Linked DNA regions of Arabidopsis thaliana. The main gene of each other region encodes a partner of the protein of the gene in region 2 in a complex. Each region holds a gene or a part of one and is shown on either strand. Other genes may lie near its edges.

Region 1 (5,449 bases), on a different chromosome or scaffold from region 2:
CATGTTTTGTGAAACTTTGAGAGGTTGTTTGTTCTTATGTTTGAATGATTTTTTTGAAGATGGAAATAAGGATTTTAAGCCGCTATCTTGGATTCTACGGATTAAGGTTGCACTTGATGCAGCTAAAGGTCTTGCATTTCTTCATAGTGATCCCGTCAAAGTCATTTACAGAGACATCAAGGCGTCAAACATCTTACTGGACTCGGTATTCTTCTCTTTCGATGTCTACTTGTTGTCTTTATCAACGACTTAAAAGATACTGAGTTTTGTCTTTCAAACAACAGGACTTCAACGCAAAGCTTTCAGACTTTGGTTTAGCGAGAGACGGTCCAATGGGAGAACAAAGTTATGTTAGTACAAGGGTCATGGGTACTTTTGGGTACGCAGCTCCTGAGTATGTCTCAACAGGTACATTCTGTCACTAAGATATGATGCAAGTAATAATGGTTGGATAAGAAAATGTAAGACTGTTGCATGGTGCCTAACACTGGTTTTTAATGTAAATTTGAAGATAGCAACTATAAAATTTATGTGGTTAAAGGAGCATATGGGTTGATAGCTAGTTTCGTTCTCTCATCTTTCTATCTTTTTTCAGGCCACTTAAATGCTAGAAGCGACGTATACAGTTTCGGGGTTGTTCTGCTAGAACTACTATGTGGAAGGCAAGCACTAGACCATAACCGCCCGGCCAAGGAGCAAAACCTTGTGGATTGGGCTCGACCATACCTCACAAGCAGGCGAAAGGTTCTACTAATTGTGGACACTCGGCTTAACTCACAGTACAAACCCGAAGGAGCAGTGAGACTGGCAAGCATTGCTGTGCAATGCCTATCATTCGAACCCAAATCACGTCCGACCATGGACCAAGTGGTTCGAGCCTTGGTACAGCTGCAAGACAGCGTGGTTAAACCGGCCAATGTTGACCCGCTTAAGGTTAAGGATACCAAGAAACTTGTGGGATTGAAAACAGAAGACAAGTACCAGAGAAACGGTTTAAACAAAAAAACCGTTGGATTGTAGTAGGTAGAGGGAAATATAAGGTTACTTGGTTAGGTACTCTTCATGTCTTCTTCTTGTGTATTGTAATATTGTGCGAAGTGATTTTGACATTTTGTAACACTGCTTATAGTTTTGCTCCTGAAATATTCGATTTGGAGATACTTGTTTTCTCTCTATCTATAGTTTGGTGATATATGCCAAAATGTGGTAGTGATCAATTCCACTCTCTTCTAACATTTTAGTTTACTATATATGTAACTAATTTCTGTCAAGTTGATTTGTTTTTATGAAAATGACTTTAATTAGTATAGTTGATGATTGAATCATAAATAACTTGTAGCCAAAAACAGACAGAATAGTACAACAAACTCATAATGTAACATTAATATCAATTCCGAAGTTCACAAAATACCATAAATATCAAATTCCATGAACATTGTCATCAACCAGAAATAAATAAATTTTACGTTAATTAAGCCAAAATGGATCTCGAGTTAAATCAATATCAATAACTATTCAACATAGCCAAATAAGTCACTATTTTAGAACAAGAACTAACTCAATTTGAGGTTTTCAAAATTCCTATATCAATTTAGAACGAGAATCTCCAAAACACAAGTCACCTCAGTAAACTTATATATTTAAGGGTTACTTTGTTTTTGTCATAAATGTTAAAAGTTACTAAAACTGTTTTTTCCCCAATTTTTTTTACTGTTTCTCTAATTGTCAACAATCAACAATCTTTCCCTTTTTCCATTTAAAAAAACATACGCGAAAAAGGAAAAAACGCGATAAGGCCAAAAGCCCATTTAATAAATGGGCCAAGCTCTCCGATCAATAGAAAAAGATCTGTCTTCTTCTTCTCTATTCTCTGATCTCTCATAAGAAGGGCTTAGGGTTCACTTCAGATCTGTCTTTGAACATTGCTACTCTCAAGTGATCAAATTAACTCCGTCGCAGGTAAATTCCACAATCCTCCGACCGTAAACCCTAATTTATCACTGTTCTTCCAAGAAACAAGTTTTTGTTTTGATGAAATTGAGGATCTTGCGTTGAAATCGTTTTGTTTCTATGGTAGGTGATGAGGAGATACAGTCCGCCTTATTACAGTCCTCCGAGGAGAGGATACGGTGGTCGAGGTAGAAGTCCTCCTCCTCCTCCTCCTCGACGTGGATATGGTGGTGGTGGTGGTGGTGGTGGACGTAGAGGATCTAGCCATGGAAGTCTCTTGGTTCGTAACATTCCTCTTGATTGCAGGTAAATTCTCTTCCTTTGGTTTAAAGTTTTGATTTTGTTTTAGTTTATCTTTGAAGATTTCGTTGGGTTGTTGTTGATTTTGTTGTTTTTGATTTTGTAGACCAGAAGAGCTTCGTGAGCCCTTTGAGAGGTTTGGACCTGTGAGAGATGTCTATATCCCCAGAGACTATTACTCAGGGTAAGCCTCCTCTTTCCTTCTCGATATCTTGATCTTTTTCACTGTACCTGAAATTTGTGCTGCGAATTATGTCTTTTGAGGTGTGAATCTTTTATAGATGGACTAGTTAGGTAATGGCTTAGCATATGATTCTTGTTTTCCTGTAGAATTTGCTTTCTTTACGATTGAAAAATGCTGTCTAAACACTTTGCTGCTTCACATTCAATGCTGAACCATTTGTTTTGATTAAAAAGGATGTTCATAAGTCTTCAACTTGTGCACAAAGTGAGGAAAATTGCAAGTGACATATGAGTTTTGAATTTTGATTTTGGCGCAACCTGTGCATGTTACTTTTTTTATACACTCCACTTTTTGATCGAGCTAAGTTCTCGAGGTGAGAAGAGGTCCTTTTGGTTGAGTTCTCGATTTTTTCAGAGCTTTTTGTTTTGGAGTTCTTTTTTTCATAGTAAATTAAACATTCCACTGATTTCCCAGGGGGTATGTTGGCTTGAAGTTAAAACAAGACCAAGCCCCACATTTGATGAAGGCCTCATGAAAAAAATCTTAACTTAAGGATATTAAGGGTCATTTCAAATCAAGAATGTTTTGTTTGGAAGCAAGTTATATGTGAAGCATGTTTTATTTGGAAGGAAGTATTAAGTGAAGAATATTTTGTTTGGAAGCAAGTAATAAGTGAAGAATGTTTTGTTTGGAAGCAAGTAGTAAGTGAAGAATGTTCTGAATGGAAGCAGTAATAAGTGAAGCATGTTCTTTATGAAGCTATACAGTAAATTACTCAAAACCTTAGAAGTTTTTTGGGGAAGACGACCTGAAGAGAACTTAAGTTTGGGATCAAGTGCATCTTATTTTTACAAGATGCTTGCCTCTTTTCGAGTTGATATGCTTGAACTGTTATGAAAGGGTCAGCTACTAATCATATTAGCGTAAGTAGAACTCTGCTTTTCTTAGAAGTTCTCACACGATGACGTTTACTTAGAAGTTCTCAGAAGCTGTAGAATGTAGGCTGATTTTGCTGGTAATTCTAGATTTATCTGGTGTTTTGTGCATTTGCTTTCAACCATCAACCACTTGGAATGATAAGCTTCTGATAAATGATGCAGGCAACCGCGGGGGTTTGCGTTTGTGGAGTTTGTTGATGCATATGATGCTGGGGAGGCTCAAAGAAGCATGAACAGGAGAAGCTTTGCTGGAAGAGAGATAACGGTGGTTGTTGCTTCAGAGTCTAGGAAAAGGCCTGAAGAGATGCGTGTGAAGACTAGGACTCGTAGTAGGTAAGTTTCCATATTTCTGATTGCTTAAGCAAAAGAGTTATCAATCAAATCGCTCTTCGTGATTAATGCTCTGCAAGTTATCCATCATTTATGAAAAGAAGTTGAGAAGGAAATAATCGTTGCGTTGTCTCAATTTTTCAGGGAACCTTCAGGCTCCAGGGATCGTTCTCATGGTTAGTAATTTTCTCTCTGGTTATGCACATGTTATGTTCTATACCAGCAAAGTTTACACAAATATTAGCACAGCTAGATTGGGACGCACTTGTTTATACACAGCTTGAGAAAGCACTTGTTTATACATGTTCTCATGGTTTGTATACACAGCTTGAGTATGTTTATGATTTTTTGTTCTCAGGACGGTCTCGTTCACGTTCAATCTCTCGATCACGTTCTCCACGTCGTCCGTCAGATTCTAGAAGCAGATACCGATCAAGGTAACATGCTTCATCACACATACATTTCCATCATCATCAAGTCAACAAGAAGTATATATGGTTTTAGATAATGGTGTTACAGGTCTTACTCTCCTGCACCAAGACGAAGAGGAGGTCCTCCTCGTGGGGAAGAAGATGAAAATTACAGTCGTAGGTCCTACTCCCCTGGCTATGAAGGTGCTGCTGCTGCTGCTCCAGATCGGGACAGAAATGGAGACAATGAGATTAGAGAGTAAGTGAAACATGGTGTCTGATTTGTTTTGCCCCTGAAGATTGTGTCTGATTTTTCGTATCTGGACATTGATTGGTCTTAATAGAAAACCGGGCTATGAAGCAGAGGATAGACGTCGTGGTGGAAGAGCAGTTTCAAGGTCGCCATCAGGATCCAGGTCCAGGTCTGTGGAGGTATCTCCAAGATGAAACTTATGTGAAGAAGTGGCCGACCAAAACTTTGTGCAACGCTTTATGGGTTTTGCATTTCTCTAGTAGTGCGTCTCTGTGTCTTTAAAAACTCCTTACTCTGGCTTGTCAAAGATATTTTGTCTTGTGATGTGATGTTACTTGAAATCGGTTTCGGTTTATGGGTCTTATTATAAAATTGTATGAAGAAGATTGGTTATGCTTTTGATGTGAGACAGGTTTAAAACCCACAATGAGCGAGTAAACCAAGTCTTCTCTCGTATGGTCGAGGTCGAGAATTGCGACCTTTTTTTGTTCTCGAGCAGCCTTTGCAGATATTTAATTAGGAAAGTCAGGTCTAAGAATTTCTGAGAAGAAGAGAATAAAAAGACTCATTCATCTAGAAGAAGCCATAATGATGTTTTATTGGGTCTGTTTTGATCAAAAGTCCAAAGACTTCTACTTTTAATTGGGTTCGTATACATTTTTCAAGCAGCCAAGAGTCTTTCCTTAAACTAAGTAAGGGTAAGATGGTCATTTTAGCTTAGTTGACCAGACTTATAAACTTTAGGTTTTGCCTCCTGTTACGTAATAATGGTTTGGTTTGGTTTGATCAAGTCTTGGAACCACGACGCAGGTTATGTTTGAAAATTGAAAAAGAGTAAATAAGAATAGTAAAAAATCATTATGTGAACGAGAAAGTCTGCGTGTTCTTGCTTCTGTATTTAAAGACTTTGTCTGACACATCCACTTCATCAATCGTTTCTCTTTCTCCTTCTTCTTCTTCTTCTTCTTCTTCTTCTTCTTCTTCTTCTTCTTCTTTTTCTTTAGAAACAACACAAACCCCAAAAACTTAAAAAATAACTCTACAGAGATGGCTGTTGGAATCCTTGAGGTTAGTCTGATCAGTG
Region 2 (6,557 bases):
TTAGTAATATATACACTGGCTACATCGTGTGACATTTTTTCTTATTCAGTAATGATTCTCAGTAGCACAATGAAACACATAGCATATGAAGTTGGGAATTGTATATTTGTCTATGGACGCTTGAAGCTTGTGTTCCTCGTTGTTTAAAATGAGGTTTAATCAAACCCGCACATTAATAAAGATACAAACTTATCATAGTAGTATGAGTTGTTTCTGTTTTCGTATTACATCTGATTTGATAAGCTCTTTTAGAAAAGATACATATGTAATTGCATGAGAATCTTTAACTTCTTTAAGTACTGGAATAGAACAAGCAGTGGCTGTTTAAGGTAGTTTAATATTGAGAGTAGCGTTTCTTATACAATGCTTACATTATTAGCGGCTGTTGATGATTGTTTTGTTGATTTGCAGCAGCCCTGAATTTTTGTGTTAACACGTGAGTTTGTTTATTTTTCATGTAAGACAGAATGCCTGTAATTCTTGGTGATAAGGATTCAATCGACACATGGTTAGATGATCCCTCGACAACGAAACTGCAGCCATTACTTTCACCATATGAAAAATCGGATTTGGTATGCAATTGCTTACTTCCTCGCATATAAGAGTGGTCTTTCCTTTTTCATTTACTTGAGATTGAAGTTTGAACTTTCAGGTATGGTATCCAGTAACCTCTGCAATTGGTAAACCAACGTTTGATGGACCAGAGTGTATTCAACAGGTACGGTTAACATCTTTCCCTTTCTTAGTAGTGTACAACTCAAATCTCAAGTTTGATCTCAAGTCGCATTAAACATATTGTCAGGATCACTATGTATTTGTACAGTCTGTATGCTTATTGTCATTTCAAATAAGGATTATGCCACCTGCAGATACCGCTAAAGACTTCACAAAATAGCTTGATCTCGAAGTTTTTCTCAACAAAGCAGCCCAAAACAGATGAAGGAGACAAAGAAACCAAATCAACAGATGCAAATATCATAGTTGATTTGAAAAAGGAACCTACGGCTGAAAAGGACACGTTTTCTGACAGCATTAAGAAAATTGAAGAACTAGACGGGGAGAAAGATATGTCGAATGTAGCCAAAAATCTGGAGTTTCAAGAGATTGTGAAAGCAGAACCATTTGTTGAAGATAACTCAGCAGTTGCGTCACTTCCTGAACCTGTAAAGAATGATGTTCAGGAGGGTACAAAGGAAGAAGGCAAATCCCTAAAGACTGGTCTTACTAAAGAAACAGGTGAGAGCAGTGCCAGTATACCGGCTGAGTCCTACATCCTTGATCTCCAAAGAATCTCAAAAGAAGAACCCGAGACTCAAAGCCATCATTTCTTTACTGCAGATGAGAGATTGAATCAGCTGCATGAGGCTGTCGAAGATATTCCAGGAAATGAAAACCAGAAGACAGTTTTAACTAGCCCGACGACGAAGGAAGGTGGCTTAGTGTTTAGCGAAAAGAGTGGGACAAAGCGAGACTATGAGGTATTCTCAGCTCAAGAAAAGCCACAGAAACACTATGAGAGGTTGCAAAATGTTAAAAGCAGTGGGAAACAAGGAAAGATGCATGGAATGGGGAAATCTAACATCAAGAAATCTAAGGAGACGCAGTCTACATTACATTTCTTTTTCGATGAGAAATAGTTTTGAGTCTACATAACATCTATGAGGACCATGTTGGCCTACTTTTGTTGTAGATAATGTTAGATAAGACCATCGTTTTGGGAATGTTGCTTGTATTGTATGTGTAGTGTTTGATCTTTGATCTAAGGTAATATTATTATGAATGAATTGGGTTTTTAATGTCCTTGGTGGATGGTAAAAATTTGTGAACCAGGTTTCGATAATCAAACCCGGTCGCTAAACGATTTTATCGGTTTAAATTAGATCCGGTTTCTAAATTAAACATCGAATTCTAATTTCCCCTGACCAGAACCACCAACGCTTTGAAATCGAAACAGACACAGATATCATCAGAACGAAGAACTTCAGCCAAAATCTGATTTTTCTCTGTTTCACGACAAGAAATCGAATTAACGAAATCTAATGAAACCTTCAAAATCGCATCACAAGGAGAAAACCGCTCGTCGGAGGTCAGAAATCTTCATTTTCCTCTCTCCCCTTTTCTTCAAAAGCTAGGGTTTTTACACAAAAACATCAAAACTCGTCACTTTTCCTTCACAGAGAGGAGAAACTAGAGGAATCCGATAATCCAAAATACAGAGATCGTGCTAAAGAAAGAAGAGAGAATCAAAATCCTGATTATGATCCATCAGAGCTTAGTTCTTTCCATGCCGTTGCTCCTCCCGGAGCTGTCGATATCCGGTAGCACTTGTCTTTCCTCGATTACTTCATTATCTTTCTAAATTCTAATTGGGTTTCTCTAAATTTCTGTTGCTGTGTACTTTTTTTTGTTGTAGTGCTGCTGATGCACTTAAGATATCTATTGAGAACAGCAAATATCTTGGAGGTTTGTGTTAGGTTTACAAATTTATTCAAAATGTTTTTTTTTTGAGGTGCTTATGTTGTTTTTATGATATGGTTTAGGTGATGTTGAACATACCCATTTAGTTAAGGGTTTGGATTATGCTTTGTTGAATAAAGTACGAAGCGAAATCGTTAAGAAACCTGATGGTGAAGATGGTGATGGTGGGAAGACTAGGTAGATTTGGTTATACTTGGTTTATTGACTCATTTGGCTTCTTTGATTCAAGTGCTAATTTTACTATATTAACAGTGCGCCTAAGGAAGATCAGCGAGTTACTTTCCGTACCATAGCTGCAAAGGTATGCAATTTTGTTCTGAACTTTGCAGATGAGGAGCAAGTTTTGGGATGTAGTTAACGCGCTTGATGTTTTTTGTTTCTCTTGTCTTTGATCTGTTTCAGTCAGTTTACCAGTGGATTGTTAAGCCTCAGACTATCATCAAGTCTAATGAGATGTTTCTTCCCGGTAGAATGACATTTGTCTATGATATGGTATTGCTTGTTAACTCTTTTTCAGGAAGATTCAATCTTATTACATGTTCTTATGTCGTTGTTTGTCTTAGGAAGTAGTCATACATGTGTATTCTGCTTCAACGATTCTTCTTCGAGTATTAGTTAATATTTAGTTAAATCTTCGCTTCTAGTTTAAATACATGTCTCAGGAAAATTTTAAGAAGGTAGCTTAAGCTGTTTTGCATTACCTTGTTAGCGATTTATTCACGATTTAATCTATTTGTTAGAAACCTTATACGCAGAATTGGTTGTAAAGGTTTTTTAGTTCGATTAACGTGTCTGCTCTTCTTGAAGAAGCATATTCTTTTTCTCTTGCAGATAGAGACACCATACGACAAGAAAAGTCAGTTGAATATACTATTGATATTTGGTAGTGTTACGTATGAAGTTTCCTTTGAGATACTTAGTCTCAGCTAAGCTGCTAGGCTAAGCTTATAGTATGGGTTTAGTCTGCCCTTTGAAAGCCTCCCTGTTGATGTATATTAATTTTATTCCCTTTTGTTTTTAATTCTATTTGTTGCTTTTCAGGAAGGTGGCTATACCCATGACATACCGACCACGTTATATAGGAGTAAAGCTGACTGCCCGGTGCCCGAGGTATGTATACTTAGAGTCCTTGTTGTAATAGTCTTCTTGATCCTGGAAAAATCTTTAGACTGTAAGCAGTGATGTGACATGATCGTTTTGATTCTAATGAAAATAAGCCCACTCTGCCTGTCTCTGCAACCTATTTTCTTTTACAGTGTTGATGTATTCAATACAGCTAATATCGATTATATAAGTCATTAGTTTTGGTAGAAGCATAGATTTTCTTTAAGTAATTATAAAAATCTTTTTAAACTAAATTCAACTTTCTTTCTACTAATCTGGAACCAAAATTAACGTTGCTTAATATGTTTGTTTACTGAACATAATAAAAATTTATAATTGAAATCACTGCTGCAATTTTTGCGAGAATTGTTTCATTTAACAGGCACTGTTTCTCTGTCCTATCTCCCCAACAGGAATTTGTCACAGTCAATGTTGATGGTTCTGTGCTAGATCGAATTGCTAAAATCATGTCATATCTTCGCCTTGGGTCGTCGGGGAAAGTTCTCAAGAAGAAAAAGAAAGAAAAAGATGGGAAAGGTATTTTGCATCTACTGGTGCATTTTTTTGTAAAGTTTAAGTATTAGCAGACCTGATTCACTTACACTGGTTAAATAAGTTCTCTGCTTTTCCCGAAATTTGTTAATTATCTGGTCTTACAGTTTGGAGCCAAGAATGTAAAGAGTGTACCTAGTCTTTGACCACAGTACTAGTAGTATCTACTGATGTCTGGTTGTGTTCTCGCTTATCAATTGTGAAGAAATTTAGTTGTATCATAAATATGTTGCTGCCGTCCCTTGATGGTTCTGTAAACTCTGTTGTTAGTAATTTTTATTATGCTAATGTGGTGCCAGTACATGTTGTAGTTCTTGTTTCACATCAGCATACAATTGGATACAAGTTGGCTGGTTTCTGATTCTTTAGCAAGATAATTTGCTAATTTCTATTCTATCATACGTTCATGCATTTTTTATATTATTTTGCCTTATTAATCACATCCACTGCAACTTTTCAAATGCAGGAAAGATGTCAACTATTGCTAATGATTATGATGAAGACGACAATAAATCTAAGATTGAGAATGGATCTTCTGTGAACATAAGTGACAGGGAAGTTTTACCTCCTCCTCCGCCATTACCACCTGGGATAAACCATCTGGATTTGAGTACGAAACAAGAAGAACCCCCTGTTGCCAGGACAGACGATGATGACATATTTGTTGGTGAAGGCGTCGATTACACGGTTCCTGGTAAAGATGTGACACAGAGTCCTATTTCTGAGGACATGGAAGAATCTCCCAGGGATAAGGAGAAAGTATCTTATTTCGATGAGCCTGCTTATGGTCCAGTGCAGGAGAAGGTACCTTATTTCGCTGAGCCTGCTTATGGTCCAGTGCAGCCATCTGCTGGTCAGGAATGGCAAGATATGGTCAGTTCACCCTAGCTAATCCTTGGTTGTATTTATTCTCAAATCTTGATCCTCGTCTGCAAATTTTGCGTCTTGGTATGTAGTTATTAGATGTCATTTATTCCCATATTTAGGTTTTTTCTGGTGGTTGTGTGTTTTTCCAGAGTGCATATGGTGCAATGCAAACTCAAGGACTGGCTCCTGGGTACCCCGGAGAGTGGCAGGAATACCAATATGCAGAGCAAACTGGGTATCAGGAGCAGTACCTTCAACCTGGAATGGAGGGTTACGAGGTCCAACCAGAAACCGATGTTTTACTAGATCCTCAACTCATGTCGCAGGAAGAGAAAGATAGGGGTTTGGGATCGGTTTTCAAGCGTGATGACCAAAGGCTTCAACAGTTGAGGGAGAGTGACGCAAGGGAGAAAGATCCAACTTTTGTATCCGAGAGTTATTCAGAGTGTTATCCAGGTTACCAAGAGTACAACCATGAGATTGTCGGTAGTGATGAAGAACCTGATTTGTCTAAAATGGACATGGGTGGAAAGGTATGCCCTGACTTAATTACATGTTCCTTGTTATTTATTGTGGAAGAGCAAAATTACAGTATCTGGTTGTTGAATGTACATGGAACAGGCAAAGGGTGGTTTACATCGATGGGACTTTGAGACAGAAGAGGAATGGGAAAAATATAATGAGCAGAAGGAAGCGATGCCAAAAGCGGCGTTCCAATTCGGGGTAAAGATGCAAGATGGTCGAAAGACAAGGAAGCAGAACCGTGACCGTGACCAGAAGCTCAATAATGAACTTCACCAGATCAATAAGATACTTACGAGAAAGAAGATGGAGAAGGAGGGTGGGGATGTTGCTTCTTTGGATGCCGCCGAGGCACAAACTCCTAAGAGATCCAAGCATTGATTTGTCTCTTGTCTACTCCAGTCATTCTCTCGTAATCTATTTTGTATCTTCAAGTCTGTTTAGGTTTTTGGTACCTTGAGTTCAAATTCTTAATTTAGAAAAGATTTTACGTCCAAATTTTGAAATGATAGCATTCTTATTTCCTAATTACCCATTAAACACGAAGCAGTTTTGGGAGTTGGGACAGCCTTAGGTTTTAGGTTTAGCATCACCAAAAATGAGACGCTTCAGTAACCAACCCAACAAGACAAGCAAAAAACTAGAAAAATCATAAAACCCTAATCAGAAAAATGGCCACAGATTCCATGAATGCAGCCACCGTCAATGACTCCGACCGTTTCATCTTCTCCACACCTCTCTCCGCTCGTGGTTCAACCAAACGTGACGCCATCTCCGTCGAGGATCTTGGCCAATACACTCTTCTCAAACTCCATTCAAATCCGGTTTCACAAACTACATAGATCTTGGCCAATACAACGACGAAGATGACGATGTAAGAATCCTCTGTTTCACACCAATCTCCATAGAAAAGGGACAGTCCTCTGTTTGACCAATACAACGACGAAGACGCTCTTTCGACTGCGAGATATGTGTTGAACGAAAACCAAGGATTGAATCTTTTCGAATCAATGGCTGTTCTCACACTTATTGCA

The links.
Region 1: SMU2 (region 2) and SCL30 share a complex: the UniProt entries of both Arabidopsis thaliana proteins name them as parts of the spliceosome.

The regions. Positions count from the first base shown.
Region 1 is NC_003074.8:20,558,944-20,564,392, forward strand, and holds SCL30 (SC35-like splicing factor 30), read left to right. Parts: upstream 1-1,858; 5' UTR 1,859-1,959; intron 1,960-2,077; 5' UTR 2,078-2,080; coding exon 2,081-2,256; intron 2,257-2,356; coding exon 2,357-2,434; intron 2,435-3,534; coding exon 3,535-3,705; intron 3,706-3,846; coding exon 3,847-3,878; intron 3,879-4,060; coding exon 4,061-4,139; intron 4,140-4,221; coding exon 4,222-4,371; intron 4,372-4,456; coding exon 4,457-4,559; 3' UTR 4,560-4,942; downstream 4,943-5,449. Other genes in the region: PBL1 (PBS1-like 1), read left to right, coding at 60-205, 285-408, 596-1,020; AT3G55470 (Calcium-dependent lipid-binding (CaLB domain) family protein), read left to right, coding at 5,413-5,449. UniProt on the Arabidopsis thaliana protein: Involved in intron recognition and spliceosome assembly. Probably active at the 5' splice sites.
Region 2 is NC_003071.7:11,254,396-11,260,952, reverse strand, and holds SMU2 (RED family protein), read left to right. Parts: upstream 1-1,882; 5' UTR 1,883-2,039; coding exon 2,040-2,086; intron 2,087-2,177; coding exon 2,178-2,318; intron 2,319-2,413; coding exon 2,414-2,463; intron 2,464-2,540; coding exon 2,541-2,655; intron 2,656-2,730; coding exon 2,731-2,779; intron 2,780-2,880; coding exon 2,881-2,970; intron 2,971-3,519; coding exon 3,520-3,588; intron 3,589-3,995; coding exon 3,996-4,119; intron 4,120-4,600; coding exon 4,601-5,007; intron 5,008-5,150; coding exon 5,151-5,534; intron 5,535-5,622; coding exon 5,623-5,904; 3' UTR 5,905-6,021; downstream 6,022-6,557. Other genes in the region: AT2G26470 (embryonic stem cell-specific 5-hydroxymethylcytosine-binding protein), read left to right, coding at 463-572, 653-718, 870-1,637. UniProt on the Arabidopsis thaliana protein: Auxiliary spliceosomal protein involved in splicing of specific pre-mRNAs that affect multiple aspects of development.